Xenopus tropicalis: one gene and its partners. The main gene of each other region encodes a partner of the protein of the gene in region 3 in a complex. Links are inferred from orthologs where the notes say so. Each region holds a gene or a part of one and is shown on either strand. Other genes may lie near its edges.

Evidence for each region.
Region 1: gatb (region 3) and qrsl1 share a complex: the UniProt entries of both Homo sapiens proteins name them as parts of the heterotrimeric GatCAB amidotransferase (AdT) complex. The link is inferred for Xenopus tropicalis from reciprocal best matches to the Homo sapiens genes GATB and QRSL1.
Region 2: gatb (region 3) and gatc share a complex: the UniProt entries of both Homo sapiens proteins name them as parts of the heterotrimeric GatCAB amidotransferase (AdT) complex. The link is inferred for Xenopus tropicalis from reciprocal best matches to the Homo sapiens genes GATB and GATC.

Annotation. Positions count from the first base shown.
Region 1 is NC_030681.2:79,110,737-79,113,152, forward strand, and holds the end of qrsl1 (glutamyl-tRNA(Gln) amidotransferase subunit A, mitochondrial), read right to left. Parts: intron 1,645-2,416; coding exon 1,439-1,644; intron 801-1,438; coding exon 589-800; 3' UTR 563-588; downstream 1-562. UniProt on the Homo sapiens protein: Allows the formation of correctly charged Gln-tRNA(Gln) through the transamidation of misacylated Glu-tRNA(Gln) in the mitochondria. The reaction takes place in the presence of glutamine and ATP through an activated gamma-phospho-Glu-tRNA(Gln).
Region 2 is NC_030677.2:151,737,828-151,741,252, reverse strand, and holds gatc (glutamyl-tRNA(Gln) amidotransferase subunit C, mitochondrial), read right to left. Parts: upstream 1,884-3,425; 5' UTR 1,853-1,883; coding exon 1,781-1,852; intron 1,600-1,780; coding exon 1,552-1,599; intron 1,361-1,551; coding exon 1,191-1,360; intron 909-1,190; coding exon 805-908; intron 721-804; coding exon 659-720; 3' UTR 538-658; downstream 1-537. Other genes in the region: srsf9 (serine/arginine-rich splicing factor 9), read left to right, coding at 3-140; triap1 (TP53-regulated inhibitor of apoptosis 1), read left to right, coding at 2,106-2,252, 2,330-2,419. UniProt on the Homo sapiens protein: Allows the formation of correctly charged Gln-tRNA(Gln) through the transamidation of misacylated Glu-tRNA(Gln) in the mitochondria. The reaction takes place in the presence of glutamine and ATP through an activated gamma-phospho-Glu-tRNA(Gln).
Region 3 is NC_030677.2:55,986,646-55,991,020, forward strand, and holds the start of gatb (glutamyl-tRNA(Gln) amidotransferase subunit B, mitochondrial), read left to right. Parts: upstream 1-1,447; 5' UTR 1,448-1,592; coding exon 1,593-1,642; intron 1,643-4,375. UniProt on the Homo sapiens protein: Allows the formation of correctly charged Gln-tRNA(Gln) through the transamidation of misacylated Glu-tRNA(Gln) in the mitochondria. The reaction takes place in the presence of glutamine and ATP through an activated gamma-phospho-Glu-tRNA(Gln).

The DNA of each region.
Region 1 (2,416 bases), on a different chromosome or scaffold from region 3:
GTCACGATACCAATGCTTGAATGAATTCCGAAATCGTCTTAGTCATTACGAAAAGTACAACTTTTTTGTGGAAGTTAATGAAAACCACAAAAAAGTAGTGGAATTTTAACTAAATTATTGTGGACTTTACGAAATGTTTGATAAGGTAGAAAAAATACGATTTTAGCTCAGAAATACTTAATCGAGGTTTAGTGAATAGGCCCCATATACTGTACTTTTCTTTCAGACTATGCTTTTATACTTGTGCTTATAAAAGCAGAAAATTTGTATTTCAAAAACACTATAGGCCAAGTGTAATCCACAATGCTTGCTACATAGCAAGTGCTATATATGAATGCAGTATTCAGTTAACTGCTGCTAAAACAAAGCAACTACTCAAACTGCATTTAACTGAAATGTGTTGTCCCAGTGTTTTAGCCCAGCAAGCAGCACCCTTCATTCTACCTAGAATACTGATTACAGCATTGTTTGCTATTTTCACATAATATACCTTCATCATTGTACCTTGTGTCATGCCACAGCTGAAATGTAACCATGCAAAGTTTTTCTGAATTAGATCATCTTTGATTAAAGAGTTTCTTTATTTTCCTATACAGAGGAAGCAGATTTACTGTATTGCTGAACTATGTTCCCATTTTCCGAGTCTCTGTTAAACTGTAAGGGAGAGAAGTCAATTTGTTTTTCAAACCATTTAGCGATTGTGAGGAGCTGCTGCTCGCAGAAAGCACGGCCAATGAACTGAAGGCCAAGTGGCAATCCCCTACTAGAAAGGGCCGCAGGGACAGTTACGGCTGGGAGGCCTGCAGAAAAAAAAAACATAAAAAAATGTATAATATAAAAAATGTTTTAAATGCATACTTTAGTAGCTGAGGCACCAAAACTACATCTATAGTAATGATAATATACTCAGTGAAAGGGTAATATTAAAGGCTATACTATAATAAATGTGGATGTGGATTCTATAAAGAGATACCTATGATGGCAGTTTTATGTTATCATTTTGGTTAGCTATGGGCAAACATAGCTGGTTCTTCCTGCTGCAGTTATGACTGCAAAGTCCGAATTTACCATTTCAATCTGTTACAATCTGAAAGCCTAAGCAATACAATCTTTATCCACTTTCCCATTATTCCTGTTTCTTTTCAAAGCAAAGATTTGTGAATGCACATTACACCTAATGGTCACTGGTTTTTCAAAAATTTGTTATCATTTTAAAACAAAATAACGTATCCTTTTGAAAATAGTAGGTTTAATTGGCAGGGCTTTTGGGGAAAGTTATAAATATGTATTAATTACGCTACACTGAATGGAATGGACAAAAAGGGCCTTTCTTTATAACAGTTTGGTGTTACTAGTCCGTTAATGTTACCGAGAATTTAAATCATAGGTCATTTCATTTTCATTTCGTTTTAGGCCCTTAGACATGTAATGCTCTTACCAGCCATGTTGGCACACTGTGTGAAGACATCTTCTTGAGCACTGCGAGTTCTATTGTCTTCCTGGATAAACTCTAAATAGGGAGCTGCATCTCCTAGTGTGGTCGGAGTTAGCAAAACATGGACTCCGGAGTTAAACACCTTAACAAAATCATCTGCTATCAGGCGCCGAACTTTCTGAGCCTTCACAAAATATTTTTCATAGTTCCTACAATCAGACATCAAGCAATCAACTTTTACCAAAGAATTAAGAAAGTTTGTAAAAATTACTGTATATTTAACAAATTTAGGTAAGTTCTATGGTTAACAGATACCACTCACCAAGGTGATATTTTAAGTATATTTAATGTGTGGAAATAATATTATAGAAAAATACATATAAATTATAAAATATTTAGCCAGTCAGATAGACATTTAGACAGCCTAACAAAACCATAAAACATTATATTAGTGTATTAATCTGATTTATAAAAAATGTACTAAGTGGATGAATGTGTATGTCTGTGTGTAAGGAGAAAAGGAATATATACATTGACGTGTCAGTCAATATTGTATGACAGAATTGCATAAATGACCACAGCTATTAAATAATTCAACCTAATGTATAACCAGTTTTCAAAACCTTATATTTTAAACATAGTTCTCTATTCAGTTTAATATACTACGCATTGTTTGTTTTGCTTTTGAATTACTTGCCTTCCTCTTCTGCTTCTTCCCAGCTTTCCGATTGGGATCACTGCCACTAGCAGGCAAAAAATACTACTGCTCTATTTTATTGTTACGTATTTATCCATTCAGGCCCTCTCCTATTCATCTGGACCCTAGCAACAAGACTGCTGATATTCAAAACACAAAAAAACCCACAACAATAAATTATGAATACCAATTGCATATTGCCTCAGAATTTTACTGTCTATATCATACTTAATATTTAATCTAAAGTTGAATGACCCCTTTACATCTGGAGCACTGAAGGTTTC
Region 2 (3,425 bases), about 96 Mb from region 3:
AGGGTGAAACTTCTTATATCCGTGTGTGCCCAGAGAGAAATACCAGCTACTCCCGTTCCAGATCCCGTTCAAGAGGGCGTGATTCCCCTTATCAAAGCCGCCGCTCGCCTCGTTATGCTTCTCCCTTTCGACCGTACTAAGTTGCCACCATAGGGACACTTTCTATGAATTGAATTCTGAATCCCATCTACTCAGAACAACATTCCACGACTGATGGATTTCATCAACTTTTATACCATTTTTTTTTTTTTTTTTAAAGAAATGTTTTCTTGACATAAGGTGTGTGGTGTTTTTTTCTTTTAAGTTCTATCTTCAAGAAGGCAAAAGATAGTATTGTGCCTCCTAGGAAGAAGGGATGGCCTGATCTGAAATTGTGTTAAATGCGCTGTGCATAATTGCTATACTGGAACTAACAAGTAGAATGCTAATGGAACCAATGCAACCTTAAGGGAAAGTACATGTGTCCTACATATAGTTAAATGCCATCAGTATGTTAGAAAGGTATAGTTTGGAATAACTTTTTAATCCTCTTCACAATCAAGTTTGTACGTATGTTCCTTTTATTATGAAAGTGTTTCAGTTTAAATAAAAATAAGCATCTGTAGCTGTCCTAATAAACAGTAAGCTGTTATGCTGTTTCTATTCCGGTCCTTGATGTTCAGGAGCTGCTCTTGACTTCAGACAGACCTCTTTCATGCTGAGCTGGTAAAGGGATGTTACCTTTTATTAAGAGGAGAAAAGAGAATGAGGACATCTAATGGATCTATATTAATGTTTGTGGATATAAATATAAACCTTTAATACCTGGAGGTGCTACAAAATATTCCTCTACAACAGTTCTGGCATTTTCTAGGAGCAGTTCGGTACAATTTCCTGCAGCAACTGCATCATTTCTTATGTATAGGGTCCTGCAAAACACATTACAAACACTTGAAACTGCCTCTTCACAAAAAAGTATATATAAATCTAGCAGTAGTATCAAGCCTGTGCTGCTGCTCTATCATGGTAGCTAAATGATAACATATTAATTTATGCAGTATCTCTTAGTGATAAGTGTCAAGTAACTGGACTTGCTGAATAATCTTAAAACAGTTTACTACTAGGTAGTGAAATGTTCAAGATTACTTTGCAAGTCCAGTTGTTTTAGACTTATCATTGGGAGATATGGTTGAAGATATAGATTACATTACCTGTCTTCTAACACAGATGATAAAGGTTCCACTCCCTCTGTGTTGACATTGTGCAGCTGATCAGCAAACTGTATGGCCTTCTCAAGCCGCTGCACGCCTTCTACGTTTCCGAAATCCACTAATGCTAGCCGCTCAAGATGGTCAATTGTGTCTAGGCTAATCAGGGGTTTCTGAAAATTGGTAAAATGTATTATGTACGTGATATATAGTCTGTCTTTAGAGGTAGTTTTACATTTATATACTTTTCTTGATTAACATGACCTGGGAATAGAGCACACATGAACAGTAGGGGGCGCATAGAGAAACCGTAATACATAATTAAGTTATGCACTAAATTATAATCATGCATATGAGTGCGCACCTGGTTTCTGATCTCGGGTTGAAGGTCCCATGTTGGTTTAGGCGGTACCTATAAATTGAAAATAGCGACATCTTAATCCCCAACAGCGGTTTCTACTAGTTTGTAGTCCAGCAATAGCTGGAAGCCCGTGAGCTGGTATATCTACATAAGAATCCCGACTTCAGCGTCGTACAAGGATATTCGTTAGACTAAACCTTGACGCGCAGTGTCATTATAAGCTAAATGATACCTTACTCTGCGCCGACAACGAACGTCGGAAACCAGAAATCCAAGCGGTGCAGAGCGGCGCTCGGAACCACATTTTGCGCGGCTCTTTAATATGACGTCATATTAGAACCACCACCGTGCGTTTCTCCAGTAACCTTGATGAAGAGGTGATGGCGGCCATTTATAAAAAAAAAAAAAGGTTTCAGCCAATAGACGTGCTTGTGTTGTAAGATGACAGTCGCGACTCTGCCCTAGGACAAGATGGCTGCCGCGGCATCTCGCTCTCCGTAGAAAGATTTGCGAGGTGAAGAAATACCTGTGTTCGTCAGGAGTTTGTTGCGGGCAGCATGAACAGCGTGGGTGAGGAATGCACGGATATGAAGCGGGAGTATGACCAGTGCTTCAACCGCTGGTTTGCGGAGAAATTTTTAAAGGGAGAATGTAGTGGCGATCCGTGCACCGAGCTCTTCAGGCGGTATAGAGATTGTGTTCAGGTGGGTAATGCACTCTGTATAGTGATAATAACATGGGCATTTTATAGCAGCGCACTAATACCCTTTCCTTTATTCAGAAAGCCATTAAGGACAAGGACATCCCGGTGGACGGAGTGGACTTTATGGGGCCTAGTAAATCAAAAACAGAATCCGACGGCTCCTCCTGACCCAACGCGGGCCCCGGAAGAGAGTGGGCCCATAACGTCATATCCCCTGCACGCCTAGAAATGAAAAATACTTTTATAATAAATAACAAAGTAACAATCAGTTTGTACGGCGAGTATTTGCTGTCTTCATACATATATATTTGTGTGTTTAGGGGGTTAAGGTTAAGCACATGGTGTCTTCAGGGGATTAATTAGTAAAAATTGATCTTCACATTTCCGGCCAGGGGGAAGCTTGGTGTGTAAAGGGGTTTTATTGCTAAATCTCGAGGTGCAGCGCTGAACTAGAAATACAGACTGCAGCAAAACAGTGTACAGTGGGGTGTCCAACCAGAAGATATCCCTTATGTGCCCCCCCTTAGCAAAACAAATCAACCTCGGATTCTACTCTTTCACTGTATTTTTAACTCATTTTTGCTATTCCTGTTGCTGTTTTCAGCCTCATTGCAATTTTATTCTATATCATATGGTTGGCCTTTGTAGGTCATAGATTAACATGTATATTTGTGCTGAGAGCAATAAGAGTATGAGTATTCTTCATATACTTAAGGAGTCCATGGAGTATGTTTGTAAACCTACCATAGTGGAATTACTTGTATAGATTTGCTGGACCAAGTTTTTTGATACTCGTATATAACACTATATAGACTGGCATTTATCAGAAAATATTCAGATCCCTACTTAATCCTATGATATCTATATGAGAACTACATCAGAGACTGTTGCTTTTCTTCAATAAACATTACTAGCACACAGTAGTGAATACAGTGGGGCTAGTTTAGTGACACCAGTGCAGTTACACGTAGCAATTAGTTAATCTCTTTTATTTGTATTTTGAAGTAAATTGACTAATTAAAATGAACTGGTTTCTATGGGTTACCTCACTGGTCCAATTTACCAACTATATTAGCATCCCATATGTTTAGCTCAAATATGAAAATATGTCAGACTTGGAGTATGTATATGCAAGTTTTTTTTAATTTATATTTAGAAAGTTCCTTATTTCTAT
Region 3 (4,375 bases):
AGGTTTTGTTGGTTTTCAGTTCTGTCACACACATTGTAGACCTTCTGATTGGTTCTCTGCCCTTTAAAATCTCACTTTCACCCTTTGCCCCTTGCACAAGCTGCCTTCTGGTTCTAAGATCCTGCTCAAGCCCGTGGTTGTTGTCATTCGTTTTTTGACTCCTGCCAGGTTCTGACTTCAATTCTTGCTGCATGTCCTGACCTCGGCCAGTTCCAGATAACAGTTTAGCCTCCTCCTTGTCTGTAGCGCATTTGTGTGCAGGTTTCCTATCTGCTACGCTGAAGAAAGTTCTGGGGCCCCAAAAGAGCATTGTTGAACATGGAATACGGTCTAATACTTTTGGTTTATAGCATTGCGTATAACATTTATTTTTGTTTTATTGAAGCCTACACAAATGTACCACACCCTGTTGACCTTAAGTGGCTTTCCATTATATTTTTTCTTATTTTCAGGTTACAGCTTCACTCTTTTATTTTAGGATTATGGACCAGATTGACTCCAAAGCCAGACTTTAAGATTACTAAGAACTGCACTGTGGAAGAACCAAGTGAAGTACATCAATTTGTTTAGAAAAAACTGGGGTCTTTGATTAAAGGAGAAGCAAAGGCTAATTCTGATACCCCTGGCCGGTGCTCCTGTTAGAAGAAAACTGGATCAGCCTGGGGTATATGTGAGTGAACGTTCTGTCCTGTCTTCTTTCTTCTGAATCCCAGGGCATACACAAAAGCAGGAAGAAGGATCGCTAGCTCACATACACCCCGACTGGTGCAGTTTTCTCCTAACAGGAGCATCGATGGGGGGCTTCAGGTAATCAATAACCTTCACTGGGGCGTTCCTAACATTATATATAATACACTGGACCGCAACTCCTGCCTTTTGTAAATTAATGCTCGTTTTGATAATTCGTGAAAAAAATGGGACCCTTTGATGACAGCAGAGCTGGTGGGAGGGCGAGGAGGCACTGGAGGCAGAAATGAGACGCAAGCGACATTAATGGGTAGCATCTTGGTACTAAGATTTTGGCACCACCTGTGATTGTACCTTTCCTTCCCCTTTAAATATTGAGAACAGAGGCTCCACTAGAGGAGAGTAACTAGTAAGAACGCTAGTGAGAGCAGTAAAACAAATTCATTGTATTCAATGCCAACCATCAGGAAATAAAACCCTCTCTTCACTCCATCATAAGACAAGTAGAAGCTTGGAGCAGAAAAAAATAAAGGAAAAATGTGTTTATCTTTTCCCTTGCAGAATTCGGAGCCATAATCCCAAAAAACAAATGTATTCTTTAAGACATCATGGGATCAGAGGCCGTGGCGAAAATATTTATACCTTTTTTTTAATTTACGATTATACATGTTCCAATGCAACCACCCCGTCCACACGCTGTTACCAGTCTATACTACTGTACTGAAACCAAGCGCAATCTTGGCTCCTCCCACAGTGCGTGTAGCGTCACTACGCTCGCTAGTCGTGGCGTAACTGTGACAGTCTCGCGAGACTGTGACGAGACTCTGAGGTGCCCTGAAAGTCTGGAGCTGGACAAATGACATTGCGGGACTTTTAAACAGCGAGTTGGGATTGTGGGCTGTGTAATGAAAATCGGCAATCTCCCGCAGAAAGCGGGGCTGTTGGGCGCTATGCGGTACGTGTGTATTCGCTTCTTTAGACGCCTTCTAGTGGGCTCTAAATTTGGGGAATAAGGCAATCCTCCTGAAGCGTATTTGTCATGTCACTCCTGGACCACTATACCCCCCAAACCCTCCTCCCACCCACCCCCACACACCCCCACACACCCCCACACACCCACCCACACCCCCCCCACACCCCCCCACCCCCCCCCCACACCCCCCCACCCCCCCCCACACACCCCCCCCCCCCCCCCCCCCCCCCCCCCACACACACACACACACACTCTTCTGCTTTTATTGTGACCTGCTTCTTATTAAGTCGTGCATGTATTAGTCTCAACTTGCTTTGCAAATATAAGTGTCCGCTTAATTGCCCATTAAAATGTTGTTTTGTATTCTTCTTAAATAGTACTGGACAGTTTTATCTTGCTAAATGTGCTCTTTTTTTGTTTTTACTAAATTACACATTTCAAAGCTGCAAAGAGTTGTTTCCCTTGCTTTGCGCTGATATAGACGAAAACATGTTTTATTATAAATAAATAAATAATCCCAGCCCTAGACGGCTACTACTCTGTGAGAAATAAAGGAAAGCTGGCTTGTTTATCAGTTTTCATTAGATATAACAATATATACATAAATGAGTGGGGCAGCATTTGCCATGTTTTCAACATGAGAAATTAGCAGTTCTTGTGCTCAAATTATTTTTTTTATTGTTTATAAAGCAACTAAGAATTCTAGTTTTTTTACCCTCATTACCATCTCCATTTTCCTGTGATCAACTGAGTTGGTATATATAAAGACAAAGAGCTTGTATAAACAAGTCTCCCCTTCCACTTTGTGTATGTGTGTGTGCGAACGCTCTATCTTGTACTGGTAGTTTCATTAAAGGGGTAGTTCACATTTAAATTAACTTTTAGTATAATGTGGAGAGTGCTGTTCTGAGACAGTTTGCAATTGGTCTTCATTTTTTAGTATTGCATCTTTTTCAGCAGCTATCTGTTTGCTAGGGACCAATTTAACCTAGCAACCAGATAGTGGTTTGAAAGAAAGATGTGAATATGAATAGAGGATGATCTACATAGAAAGATTAGTAATAAAAAGGAACAATCAGAATAAAATTTCAAATGTGCCAGGGACCCCCATTTGAAAGCTGGATAGAGTTATGAGAAGAAGGCAAATAATTAAAAGCTATAAATAAAAAACAGCGAAAAGTTGCCTGGTATTGGCCATTCTACAATACACTAAAAGTTAACCTGAAGGTGAACCACCCATTTAACTAACTTCTTCTGCCACAATTGATAAAAGCAGGAAGATGGGAAATGAAAGTACCTGTTAGTCAGTCAGCAACTAGAAGGCGACATGGGACATAACTTTTCATTTAGTTTGTGACTATGCAGGTTGGGGTCAAAAGCAAACTAACTGAAGAGTTATGTTCCATATGGCCCCCCTTCATGATGCTGACAGGTCAGAGTGATGCAAAGGAGGATGTTATGTTCTGGCTATTACAGTAGACATCCGTTCACTCCAGCTTTTATACATTTTTTTGCTAACTATATTAAAACATTTATTTTTCTCAGACTATCTTTTACCCAGTTTTATATTTACTCCGAATTCTTCCTTTTACAGACAAAGAAAGAGTTAATCACTAGGGGATACCTCTTTTGATTATAATTGCTAATTTCAGATTGCAAATCCTTTGCAGAAAAATGAACTGGCCTAGGGTACTATTCTACAAAGTGCTGCTAGCCCTTGTCCCAGGGATACTTTGCAGCTTTATAGGCTGGGTCACATGAACAGTAGAGTAAAATCAGAACTTAGAAAATAAAATATGAACATTTACCCTAATGTGCATTCATAGGGGGGAATTTATGAAGTGCAAAAAAACCTGAAAACTTGAATATAAAAAATTTCCTTATTTATTCGATTTAGAAAAACAAACTCAAATTCACAAACTTGAAAAAATAATAAATAAGCCCTATACTGTCCATAGAGCTGACCTGGACAAGACAAAATGGAGGCTTAACGCTCAGTAGTATGGTATTCTAGTCTGGTGTAAGGTTAGAAATATGATCAATGGGTGGTGCCTAACAAAGCAAAATATATGTTCACTAAAAGCCCATTTAATTGAACTTATGATAAAGAAGAAACTTTCCAACCACTCAGCACACTGTTTTAGCTTTCAGTTCCGCAGGCATCGAGAACTAGCTGTAATAACGATTGTTGACATCTGAGAGGGAATCCCCTCTGGGGTTGTTGCTGTTATTAGAATCACCATACATCTGCATAAGTCGGCTTGCAGTATACGCAATTACTGTCCGCTATGAGGGGGAATCGGTGGATGAGGATTTCTGATAATTACCAGTAGTTCTAAGACGTAGGTTCTTGTAAGGGGTTTCCTGTGTTTGGAAACTTTCAATTATAACACTCCCAACTCACACCTGTCCTGACTTTTGTTTGCTAGTTTAGAGTTTTTGTATACGCATATTTTAAAAAAAGATTTAATGTGTCTGGCATACTATTTAGAAGGGGTGGCACAATTTATGTTTTAGGGTAATTTGCCACTTTTCCAGTAGTCCAGTATTTTGATTAATGCCCATTTTTGAATGGGGATGGACCCCGATTTTTTATATTGTCACTGTACAAAGTGCCAGGTGAATCTGATGCATATTTGATTTTTTTCACATTGTTTTCTTTTTTGCCACATGTATCCTGAAGATATCGATGAAGGGAAATGACTGAAGTAGCAA